Linked DNA regions of Mus musculus: all the other regions are reported to be linked to region 1. Evidence: microRNA targets listed by miRTarBase, many of them from high-throughput screens and not tested one by one. Region 1 holds a microRNA gene; each other region holds the end of a gene's coding sequence. Distances are between the middles of the regions.
The links. Region 1 holds the annotated microRNA mmu-miR-466a-3p (UAUACAUACACGCACACAUAAGA, at 1,757-1,779, opposite strand). A microRNA usually pairs through its seed, bases 2 to 8, with sites in the 3' UTR of a target mRNA and lowers its output. Matches are read on the target gene's strand: a 7mer-m8 pairs with bases 2 to 8, a 7mer-A1 pairs with bases 2 to 7 and ends in A, and an 8mer does both.

Region 2: the mRNA of 1110059G10Rik is a reported target of mmu-miR-466a-3p. Seed matches in the 3' UTR shown: 8mer at 2,553-2,560 and 8mer at 2,545-2,552.
Region 3: the mRNA of Tmem161b is a reported target of mmu-miR-466a-3p. Seed matches in the 3' UTR shown: 7mer-m8 at 1,604-1,610.
Region 4: the mRNA of Strbp is a reported target of mmu-miR-466a-3p. Seed matches in the 3' UTR shown: 7mer-A1 at 663-669.

What each region holds. Positions count from the first base shown.
Region 1 is chr2:10,477,666-10,480,916 of GRCm38, reverse strand. Mir466e (microRNA 466e) reads right to left here and starts at 1,829; the gene lies at 1,746-1,829. All of the region lies in intron 10 of Sfmbt2 (Scm-like with four mbt domains 2), which reads right to left. It overlaps Mir669j (microRNA 669j), which reads right to left and starts at 3,007; the gene lies at 2,887-3,007. Mir467a-2 (microRNA 467a-2) reads right to left here and starts at 2,119; the gene lies at 2,037-2,119. It also overlaps Mir669a-4.
Region 2 is chr9:122,945,127-122,948,377 of GRCm38, forward strand. It overlaps 1110059G10Rik (RIKEN cDNA 1110059G10 gene), which reads right to left. Exons shown (of 3, transcript NM_025419.4): 3 at 1-2,982. The coding sequence ends at 2,768. Among named protein-coding and RNA genes, the nearest start is that of 1110059G10Rik, 4.2 kb to the right of the region's middle.
Region 3 is chr13:84,294,045-84,297,295 of GRCm38, reverse strand. Tmem161b (transmembrane protein 161B) reads right to left here. Exons shown (of 12, transcript NM_175187.5): 12 at 1,330-2,693. The coding sequence ends at 2,416. Among named protein-coding and RNA genes, the nearest start is that of Gm41011, 48 kb to the left of the region's middle.
Region 4 is chr2:37,581,367-37,584,366 of GRCm38, reverse strand. Strbp (spermatid perinuclear RNA binding protein) reads left to right here. Exons shown (of 18, transcript NM_001379315.1): 18 at 261-3,000. The coding sequence ends at 337. Among named protein-coding and RNA genes, the nearest start is that of Gpr21, 66 kb to the right of the region's middle.

The DNA of each region.
Region 1 (3,251 bases):
ACAAATACAGGGTGATCTCTAACTCATTATGAAGTTAAGCATGAATTTGAACTCCTGAGACTCCTAACTCTGGCAAGTGGTTTTCATTTGATAAGTGAGATTTTTCCCTATACCATGAATATACACTCAATGAAACTCAAAGCACGCATAAATCAAATGGATGACTGCCATGTGTGTTTGTGTGCACATGTATGTGTCCCTAGTTGTGTGTGTGTGTGTGTATACATATATACATATATATACATATATATATATGCATGTTCATATACGCGCATGTACAGGCATACTTCCCTATACACATAAACACAAACACAGGGAAAATCACATGAATTCCGGGCTGATCTCTAACTCATCATAAAGTTAAACATGAATTTGAACTACTCATCCTCATGATGCTGGCAAGAGTATTCACCTCCTAACTGAGTCATAGCTCGGGCCATTCGTGGGAATATGTTTGCATGTGAGTATATGCATATTCATATACAGAAGTGAATATATACACAACTATACACACATGCACATTCTTGGTGGGCATCACATGAATCGCATACTGAACTCTAACTCATCATGAAGTTAAACATAAATTTGAATTCCTCATCCTCCTGACACTGGCAAGAGTACTCACCTCCTAACTGAGACATAGCTCTGGCCATTCCTATGAATGTGTGTGCATGTGTGTATATGCATATTCATATAGAGAAGTGAATATGCACACAACTATACACACATGCAAATTTTTGATGGGCATAAGATGAATCCCATGCTGGTCATGAACTCATCATGAAATTCAGCACAAATTTGAACTCCTGATCCACCTGACTCTGTCAAGGGATTTCACCTGCTGAGTGAGACCTCTCCCCATTCAGTACTGAGGAATCTTAAAACTCTAAGTCACACGTCATTCAAATGGATCGATGAGTTGCACTGATGTTTGTGTGTGTGTTTCTGTTTGTGTCTGTGTACATGTATATATTTGTGTAGATAGGTACATCCATATACTCAAATCCACACACAATAGAAACAGATACAGATAGGGATACATAGGGGCATCACATGAATCCCAGGCATATCTTAAAGTCATCATGAAGTAAAGCATGAATTTGAACTCCTGATCCACAATCTTTCACACCTGGTGAGTAAAACCATTCACTGTCCCAAACTGCATAATCTAAAACTTTAAGTCACATATCATTCAAACGTATAAATGAATGCAATTTTTTTCTCTGTGTCTGTACTTGCATATACACGTGTGTTTATATTTTGTATATCATGTCAACAGAGGCAATGCATATACAAGTAAACACACATGCACATACATGGGTGGCCTCACATGAATACCAGGATGATCTCTAACTGAATTAAGCATGAATTTGCAATCCTTATCCTCCTGACTTTGTCAATCTTTTACACCTGGTGGGTGAGACCATTCAATGTCCCCTATTGCATAATCGCTAAAACTCTACATCACTTATCATTCAAAGGGATTGGCGAATGCCATTCCTGTGTCTGTGTATGTGTGCTTGCGTTTATACGTGTGTGTGTATGTTATGTATATTCAAATATAGACATGAACATGCACACACAACTATACACACATGCACATACATGGAGGAATCACAGGCTGATCTCTCATGAGGATAAGTATGAATTTGAACTCCTGATACCCTTAACTCTAGCAAGCATTTTCACTCTAAGTCACTTATCACTCAAATGGATTGATGAGTGCCATTCCCATGTGTCTGTGTGCTCATATGTGTCTTATGTGTGCGTGTATGTATATGTATATCATATTCACATATGTACATGTACACACACATCAACACATACACACATACATAGGGGCAATCACATGAATGCCAGGATGACCTCTAACACATCATGCCTTTACCATGAACTTGCACTCCTGATCTTCCCGACTCTACCAAGGGTTTCCCGTGGTTTGTGAGACCTCACCCTGGCCCAGTCATACATAACCTCCAAAGCAGTAGGTCACATATCATTCAAATGGATCCGTGAGTGCCATTCCCGCATGTCTGTGTGCATGTGTGTGTAGGTGTGTGTATGTATATGCATAAAATATACACGCATATACATGCAGGCACTTACGCACACAGGCACATACATAGGGGCCATCACATTATTCCAGGATGATCTCTAACTGCTCATGAAGTTAAGCATAAAATTGAACTCCTGATCTTCCTGACACTGCCAATTGTTTACACCTGGTGAGAGAGAATATTCACTGTCCCTCTACTTTATAATCAGCAAAATTCTAAGACATATATCATTCAAATGGATCAATGAGTGTCATTCTTATGTGTGTGAGTGTGCATGCCTGTATGTGTGAATACATTTGTATGTGTGTGTATTTACAGGGATGATCATATATACACATGTACGTGCACACACAATTATATGCAAATGTACATAACTAGGGTCGATCCCACAAATCCAGGGTGATCTCTAACTCATCATGAAGTTAAGCATGAATTTGACCTCCTGAGACTCCTAACTCTGGCAAACAGTTTTCATTTGATAAGTGAGATTTTTCCCTATACCATGAATATAAACTCAATGAAACTCTAAGCACGTATAAATCAAATGGATGACTGCCATGTGTGTTTGTGTGCACATGTATGTGTCCCTAGTTGTGTGTGTGTGTATATATATATATATGTATGTATATATATATATATATATATATATATATGCATGTTCATATACGTGCATGTACAGGCATACTTCCCTATACACATAAACACAAACACAGGGAAAATCTCATGAATTCCGGGCTGATCTCTAACTCATCAAAAAGTTAAACATGAATTTGAACTGCTCATCCTCATGATGCTGGCAAGAGTATTCACCTCCTAACTGAGTCATAGCTCGGGCCATTCGTGGGAGTATGTTTGCATGTGAGTATATGCATATTCATATACAAAAGTGAATATGTACACAACTATACACACATGCACATTCTTGGTGGACATCACATGAATCGCATGCTGAACTCTAACTCATCATGAAGTTAAACATGATTTTGAACTCCTCATCCTCCTGACACTGGCAAGAGTGCTCACCTCCTAACTGAGACATAGCTCTGGCCATTCCTATGAATGTGTGTGCATGTGTGTATATGCATATTCATATAGAGAAGTGAATATGCACACAACTATACACACATGCACATTTTTGGTGGGCATAAGATGAATCCCATGCTGGTCATGAACTCATCATGAAATTCAGCACGA
Region 2 (3,251 bases), not on the chromosome of region 1:
CAGGAGGTCTATCCCTAAAGCATAGCCCCAGTTTTGTCCACTTCTGATTTTGTTCCCTTAAGTGATGGTTTTGGGAAAACAGTCCATTTGAAAGTTTGAACAGTGTCTTTGCATTTCATTGACTTATCAAATAATTGTTTTCTAAGAGCCTACTATATGCAGACACACAGCCCCACTGCCTTGTGCTTGTAAAACTGTCCGGAAGCCTAAAAGTGAATTGGATCCTCTGACCCATCCTTTTTCCTTGGAATGCATGTCTGAATGACCCCAAATTACTCTGAAAAAAAAAGCATTAAGAGTCAAAGCGTTGCAGAAACAAGTGTGTGTTGTCAGTTTCCATCCAGAGGCCTGGAAATGCAACTGAAGGAAGAACACTGAGAATTGGACCTGGAGCTTGAGATCACGATAGCTCTGACATTAACATTTGGGTTAGTGGGGGTGTTAGTGCTATTAGGAATATCTAGCACTGGTGATAGGAGGAAATGCTCTACCATTAAGCCACATTCTACCATAGATACTCTAATGACATGGTCTCCTTATGATGCACTGGCTAACCTAGGACTCACTATGTAAACTGGGCTAGCCTCAAGTAGATCCACCTGCTTGAGCAGTGCTGAAAGTAAAGACCTGCATCACTAGGCCATCTTTCCCGAATGTCTCTTCCTGCCAGATGTTTTTATAGATTACTCTGCTTCAACCCCACTACAGTCCTATGGAAACTGGCGCTATTTGGGAAAGATTGTAAATGAGTAAAATGCTTGGGGTTTTTGAGTTGGCTCTGACAAGTGAGAAAATATATGAAAAATGAACATCTAAGCTTGGTAAAATCCTTGAGAATCTCAAAAGACAGTCACAGGGACGATAAAAGTGGCTGGGTTGAAGCAGGAATGACCTCCATGCTCCCCTCCAGCAGTGCATTTCTCTTTATGGGAAGGCATGTGGGACCATTTCTGGAGCTGGGACATCAGCATACACCCCTCATCCTCTTTGCTCCACTGGAGGAACCAGATGAAGCTGCCTGGCATCCCAGAATGGTGTAGGACATGGTTCTTTAGTCTCAGAGTCATGGTATGGCAGCACTAGCTCTTACTTTCCTGATGATCCAATCCTGTTCCCATGTTGGTGACCTCAAGCTCCATCACTTGGGCTTGAGGAAAGCAGAGAGAGACATAAAAATAAAAATAGCGCTTCAGCTTTTCTGAGGTGAGCTACACCCAGTCCCCTTCCCACACATATAATTTAAAATAAAACACATCTTTTAAAAAATTGCTTTAGAGCTCAGCAGTGGTACTAATCTTAGCACTTGGAGTCAGAGGAAGGCAGGGTGAGTTCCATGACAGCCATGGCTACACAGAGAAACCCTGTCTTGAAAAAAAAAACCAACAAATTTCTTTTAGCCAGGCATGGTGATATATGTCTTTAATTCTAGCACTCAGAGTGCAGAGGTACATGGACCTCTGGGTTCCAGGTTACACAGGTCTACATAGTGAGTTCTAGGACAGTCAGTGATACACAGGGAGATCTTGTCACAGGTTCTAAATAAATTATTGAAAAACAGTGGAACTGTTTGTTACATGAAGAGATTGTTTTATAAGGTAATTATGCTGTTATTAAAATTTTCTGTTTTTCTTGACTAAGAATTAAAATTTCCACAGAAAATGTGTTTTCAAAACGCTAAATTGGAAAGCAACCACTGGCTCCCTTTTTCTGAATACATTTAAGTGGCAGGAGCTGCAGTTTGTAGGTTTCCTTGTGTGAATGTGGAAGACCCTGTGAATTTGCCGCTATTGCACAGGGGCCATATACACTCTTGAATTATTAAAGTGTTAGTATATGTTCTGCTCAAATAAGCACTTACTTTGTTTTTTGAGACAGCACCTCACTTTGTCACCCTGGCTGGTCTAGAACTCACTCCACAGAGCAGTGGGTCTTGATCTTCCTCCTGTCTTTGTTTTCCATGTGCTGGGGTTACAGGTTACTACACCTGGCTTAGAAAGGTATTTTTAGCCAGGCCATGCCTTCATCAAGTGCAGGGTTTTACTAATGAGAAAGACACAGCAGAGGCTCAGGGAGTAGAACTGTTTGAAAGGATTACAAGGACTAGGAGATATGGCTTTACTGGAGGAAGTGTGCTTTGAGGTTTCAGAAGCTCAGTCAGGCTCTCCCTTTTTCCCTCCAATGGCCCCACTCCTCCCCAGTCCCCACACCCCACTCCACCCTGCTTGTGGATCAGGATATAGCTCTGAGGTATATCCTTCTCCAGCATCAGGCCAGTCTTGATGCCATGTTTCCTGCCCTGATGGCAGTAGACCAAGCTGAAACTGTGAGCAAGCCCCTAATTAAATGCCTTCTTTTATAAGAGCTGTCATGTCATCTCTTCTCAGCAACAGAACAGTGACTAAGACAGATCTATTTATGAAATCCTCTGGAAGCCTTTAATGTTAGATTTTGAAATAAACAACATCAGAAAATTCTACAAATGTAATTCTAAGAAAGAAGGACAAAGAAGAAATATAACAATCTCAGTTTTGTTTAAAAATGCAATATACATATATACATACCCATAGGAGGGAGACAATAAAAAGCATTAGCAGTAGTGAATGTCTGGCATTCCAAACAAAGGGGCAGGAATGGGTAGGTTTACTTTATGAAATCGCTCCCTGTATTTCTGAGTTCTTCTGCAATGAACATGTAGTACAGTGTCACTTGAAGATGGAGCAAAAGCAGTATTTTTAAAAACAGGAAACCAAGTCCACAATATTCATATTTACTCATTTTCATCTTCACTGTCAAAAGAAAGGAGACTGCTATTTTTTATTTGTTTTTGTGAGTTCTTTCTAACTGAACTTTGCTTATTTACATCATCTTCATTGGTTTTCTTCTTTTTGGAGCTTGCTGTTAAACCTGAACACTTTTCATCTGAGGAACGCTTAACTGGTTTTCGATAAACTATTCTTCCATCAGCTGGAGGTGGTTCTTCATCTGTGATGAAAAAGATAAATTGAAGCATTTTTTTTCTCTTTATTTTGCTGTTAACAAAGAGTCTAATGACAAGAAAATCTTATTCTGTACTTAACGATGTCTTTGAATCAATTTGGTCTGGTCTTCTCTATTGCTTTTAGTTATAACCCCCCCCCCCCCAGCACATGCAGTCACTCAATAAAAACTCACTAAAGTTTTCCATAATATTTAGTCCCCATCTGATTACAGTGAAGATGAAGAGGCCTGCACTTAGACCTCATGTATGCTCT
Region 3 (3,251 bases), not on the chromosome of region 1:
AAACTTCTGTAGCCACTATGGACATCAGTATGGTGATTGCTCAGAAAGTTAGGAATTCTCTAACTCAAGATCCAGCCTATGCTACCCTTGGTCGATGCTTTATCACACCACAAGGTAACTTGCTCAACCTTGGTCACTGCTACTCTACTTCAGAAATTAGAAATTAGAAACAACGTAGGTGTACCTCAACAGAAGATACAGAATAGGGTATTATTCGGCTATTTAAAAAATGAAATCATGCAACTTGCAGGCAAATGGATACAAAAAAAAACCATCCTGAGTGAGTAAACCAAGACCCATAAAAATAAATATGGTATGCATTTACTTATATGTAGTTATTAGCTTTTAAGTAATAAATAAGCTACAACATGTAGACCTGAGAGGTTTTGGTATAGAGAAAAGGACCGCTGAGGGGGCACATGGATTTTCCTGGAGTGGGAATATAGAGTAAATTTTATGACTGGAATGAAATTGGAATGGGGGGGGGTGGTCAGGAGTGGACAGACTAGGGAAAGGAGGTGGGAAGTTTGAAAGGAGACAGGATTGAAAGAGGGAATGAGGGGAGACAGCTAGAACTGAAGGGCATTTGAGGGCAGGAATGGAAAGCAGGGCAGTTGAAAGTTACAATAAAATGACTCCTAATACTCATAGATCAGTACCTTACTCAGCCAACAACAGAGACACTTCCTCTTATAGCAGATGGGAACACATAGAGACTCACCAGCAGATATTATGAAGTGGGGAAGAAAGAGAGAGACACACAGATAAGACTGTACACACCTTGGAACACACAGCTGTACTGGATTTGTCTCCATTAAATCCCTCTCCACAGAGCTCAGGAAACTCTGCAGAAGAGGCAGAAGGTGTCTGGGAGACAAAAGAGACAATGGACACCAGAACACGGCCCTCTCAGACATCTGAGCAAAGCTCTTATGAGTTCAGAGACTAAAGCAGCATGGCCTATGGGTCTGGACCAGGTCCCCTATATATATACTCTAGTTTTCAGTTTAACACTTTATGGAGAGGGACTGCTGAATAAATGCAGAGTGGTTCTCTAACTCGTATGCCTATTATTGGCATCTTATTTTTCTGTTGGCTTGGCCTGTACAACCATGCTATGATGGTTTTTGTTTTCTCTTATTGTATTTTATTTTGTTATGTTTTGTTGTTATCTCTTAGAAGCCTGTTCTTTTCTAATGAGAGTCAGAAAGGGAGTGGATCTGGGTGTGAGAGGAGGTGAGCAGAAAGAGGAGTTAGAGGGATAGGAACCTGGATTTAGATATATCGTATGACATAAGAATTTATGTTTAATAAAAGGCAAAAACCAAAAACAGAAAATGAAATTTAATTTGTGAGAAATCAACTAATCTTCATGACATTTTAAGTACTATTATCATATATGTACAACAAATAAATTACACTCTGTTGAGCTTTAAAAAAATGTATTTTAATCTCATTCCAAACAGAAATTTCCAGATACAAATACATCTCATTCAAATCATTGTTTAACGTACGTTCTGAAACTTAAAATATTATAAGGATTCAATATTTTCATCTTTTATAACCTCAATATATTATATATTTAATATATAATATATACACAATACATACACGTAGTCAGCAGGATTGCAAAGTAATTCTCAAATTTGATCAGTATTGATAAATATTTTTAGATTAAACATAACTATTTAAAATCAAAGAAAAAATAAAATACAGCAAGGCCCAAAACTAACAGTGAGACCGCTGATGTTCATATGGCCAATCATTTAAAAAGAACTTTCAAGCTGGGTGGCATTCACTTTAAAAGAATATTCCTGCTACTCTCAAGTAACAGTACTTGTAGACAATAGGTAATTTATATCTCCATTCAATTTAAAATGACTATGCAGCTTTTCTTACTGTAATATACAGTAGCTTTCTCTTCCTTTCTGTTGGATTTTTTTTTAAGACTAATACATTACCAACAGAAGTAATTTTCGTTCCTTTCCCTTCCCTCGAGCATGGCTCAGTTTGAAGATTGTTCTGTAGGCAGCAACTATGAGTAGTAACAGTACCACAACACCATGAAAAGCAGTCAGTAACTGGAGTCCTAGAAGAAGTCTAACAGACTGTTGGAGGTTTGCAACTGTAAACCAAGATAATCAGAAGGATTACCCCTGCAGAGAGCCCTCTCACATTAGTTCTCTCAATGAGTTACAATTCCAATGCCACAGTGTGTAACAGTGTAACAACCTATCTCATGAGTTTTAAATATTACAACATTAATTCACCCTGAGAGTACAGAGGAAGCATTCAAAACAAAACACTCCAATAATTTTTTTCTCCGTTCTATTTGCATTCTTCTTTTGTCAATCCTTCAAGGGCACAGATATTTGAATTTAAAGTGTGACTTGGATATCCGTTTTTGACTGAAATTCATGCCACTGTCAAATACTGATGATAGAAAAGCCCAAAAAGGCTTGTAGAAAAGAGGCAAGCTGCAATCCACCATGTCAAAAATGACAGAAGTCCTCGAAAAAGGAGAGGCGTGAAGATGTTTTTTAAGCTGCTCAGGGCCACTGTGATTTGTGTAACAGTTACCTTCATCTTCCCATCAGGTGATGGTAGTTCAGGGTAAGCCGAGTTGGCGGGGAGATTATTATCCACTGGCAAGGGAAAGGCGGCTTCTGGATAAATTCCCCAGGAATGATTACCTAGGATATTCAAGACACAAAATTTGATAAGTAGATGATTCTAAGGATCAAACAAAATAAAACAAACAAACAAACAAACAAAAAAAAACAAAAAAAAAGAAGAAAAGCAAACCTTAAATCCCCACCCATATTACACATTAAAAAGTTTGGTGGTAAACAATTTTACATTGAAAATAAAGTAATAATTTTGCTATCTGTTAAAGTAATAAAATTAACTGAACCATATTATAGTCTTTTTTTAAGTAAAAGTATAATAAAAAAAACAAGTATGACAGATCCTTAATTCAGTGCAGTGACATCTGGCTATGAGTCAACAGCCTTCCTTGACAGAACAGACCCATTAACTTCCTAGAAATCCTTTCTGCCGCTACAGCATCACACCAAATATCTTTCTGAGAAAGATATGACATCAATGTGAGAAACAGTTAATGGCTTTTAGAACTGGTTTCATCATAAACTTTTTTACCTTGCATAGGCTGTGATTCACATAGTATAACTGAGCTACCTGTCCCTTATGGTACAGAGGTCTAAAGGCACACTTAAACTTAGCATCTGTTC
Region 4 (3,000 bases), 27 Mb from region 1:
ATTGCTTTACATCTTTAGAATTCATGCCTGCTCACTCAGATGTCATTCTGAGTGTCATTCTATAATACAGGCTTTTTATTTTAGAGCAGAAAACATTATGTATCAAGATAGAAGAGCAATTGATTTGTGAGAGATTTGTGGGCCTCTTCCAAAATGGTATGAAGTGGACTGACTAATCTGGAAATGGTTAATGATAATTACTGTAAGAATTTTTAACCTGAAATTTTTATTGGAGTCCTCTCCGTTTCTTTTCTCTGTAGGTTTGCCCAAGAGAATGGTTCTGTTACCCGTTATGAAATTCCCAACATATCCTGTTCCCCACTACTCATTCTTTTAGTAAATGACAGAAGCTCATTCCTATTGAACAACAATACAGTACAATGCAGAATGTTAGAGAAAAAGCCTTTTTATCCTGCTTTCTTTGAACACATACTTACTTGATCAAAATTATTTGTAAAGAACATCTTTCCTACTTTTTGATTTTAACAAATGCAAATTCAGTTCTCTAAAACTTGAAAACAAACAAAAGAAACCAGTTCTGTGAAACGGTACCTCATTCCTGGAAATAATTTATACCAGCCCCTTCGTTGTAGGGAAGTCTAGCAGCTCAAAGTTGACGTTTTAAGAGAGTATCAGATTATGTAAAGTTAAATTTGTGAAGGATGTATAGAGTCTCAACACTGATTACAAATAAACTGCTTTGTTGTAACACAGAGTACTGCCTGGTTCCTGATGCAGTCACTGATTGGTAGCTGAGTGATATGTGCTTACTCCAGGGCACTTGAATTTGGGCTGTAGTTATTTTTTTTTTAAATACAGTAGAAACTTTTCATTTAAACTTTAACTTTGTAAATAACGAAGTGTGTAATTAAAGCCAATAAAATATGGGTTTGAATATTGTTTTATCTTATTATTTTTGATATGTTTTGGTATCAAATTTCAAGGAATTGAAAACTAGTAATAACTTGGCCCTAGAAACCCATTTATTTGTAAGCAAGCTGCTAAAACAAAGCAAAGATGATTTCTCAATCTATTCATTTTGTAAGCTCTTTGTACTCCATTTGTACAAGAGCATCCCCATGATAAGGTTACATTCTGTTATTCCAGCATTGCTTATTAAAATGATGGCACCATCCAAAGATGGGGAAGGAGGATTGTGATTATTTTAGTTTACGAATTTCCAAGTTAAAAAAATAAATTAATCAATCACCCTCTTTTGTTCTTGTGGCCTTCTTCACTCTGTAAGACTCTGTGTTCACTCCTTGACTTTTTCCATGTAGATAGATGATTAGCAGGTTTTTTTTTTTTTTTGGAATTCCTTGAAGAGTCTCCTTTCCTCTTCTTTGATATCAGAATCTAAAGCAGCAACAGGATCCCCATAAAAACTCGCTCTCTGATTGTCCCAGTTCTTGTTGAGTGCTGCTGTGAAAAGTGACAGATTTCAGCCATGGGTCAGCATTTACTTTTAAGACACCTGATTATACTGGTAGAAACTGGGAGCCAGTAACATTGTGCTGGTCTGTGAAGGGTGCAGACCCAAGTCCTTCCTTGCATTCTCACCATGTTTGGAAAGCTGATGATGTTACTAGAAGGTAATGGTTTCATTAAGGTACTCACCCCCATTCAGGCACAAGTGTAGTCCTCTGCAGACACAAGTCACTATTCTTAAAAATGATTTAGGAAGTAACTACTTTTCTGTTAAATTCCTTTTCAAAACTTCAAGCAGTGCCCATCACTTGAAAGTGGTCTTACTAAACTTAATGTACCAGGCTCCTTTGGAAGGGAATGCGAGATGAGCCTGCGGGCACAAATACTGCTCAGATGTGTATCACACAGTCATTTGTTCCTTTCCTTGACCTTTGTTTTCTAATAGTGGTGGGTGATACTTTAATAAAACCTTGTCACTTGCTGAAAATAGCTTTAACTTGTCATTCTCATCATGTGTGTTAGTGGCAAGACATAATGGAGCAGGGCCCTTTTCAGCTGGGAATTTTCATGTTCATTGGTTTGTTTTGCTGACCTATGGATGAAACAGAGCCATCACTGAGAAGAAAAAGCATGGCTGCTAGTATCTAGTTTTTAATTAATTAAATATTTACAATGGTTCTGTTTTTGAAATACTATTAATTGGCAGTTGCAGTTGTATTGTTATTTGAAATTGACCATCAAATTTGGACTCTAGGCTGGAATCTGCCTTGAGATTTCTCTTTAGAAAAGACTTTTGCAGTCTCTGACTCTGCCTCATAACTCACCCCCTCTCTGATGGAGGAGGAAGCTGTGCTGTTCTCCAACATGATGGCCGTCATTTCAAATGGTTCCTACCAAGTCTTCCCTCTTTCTTCTTAATTTTGTTGTTTGTTGGAAGTTACTAACCATGTTGTAAACCTGCCCAGTTGCTGCAAACTTTTACATTTCTCTGCTTTACTTAAAACAATGGAGCTGTTGACCCTATGTTAGAAGTGGTAACCATGCAAGTTCAATTGTTTAAATTCTGTAATGAATTAAGTGTCCTCCCACCTTTTGCCCGTCCCACCCTTCATTTTGTAATGAAAATTCCACTTACAGTTGAAAGAGCAGAGAAATATAAATGAAGCTCTTAGCTTCGTCCAATTGTATGAGATTAACATAAAGTTCTGCTTCTCTGCTCTTTTCTCCACTGTAGGTGGTTTTTTCATTGACAGCCCCTATTGCCAGCCTCTGAGCGTCGCACCATTTATTATTCACTTGGGCCCTCAAGATTTCTTCTCTGACTTCTAGAACCATCAGGTTGTCTGGCTTGAATGGCAATTTTATATCTTGGTCTTAAGAGCAATGTGACCCCTAAGGCTTTCCAGCTTTCAGATCCACTCTAACCCTTTTTGAAATCAATGACTAAGAATTTTAAAAAAGAGCAATACTTTGTCCAAAGCCACGATGTCTGTTTTAAAGCTCTCCTTTTGGACATGTAGCAATATCTAGATGTAAACCCTTCAGTGTGTAGCTCTTGTCAGGGAGTTTACA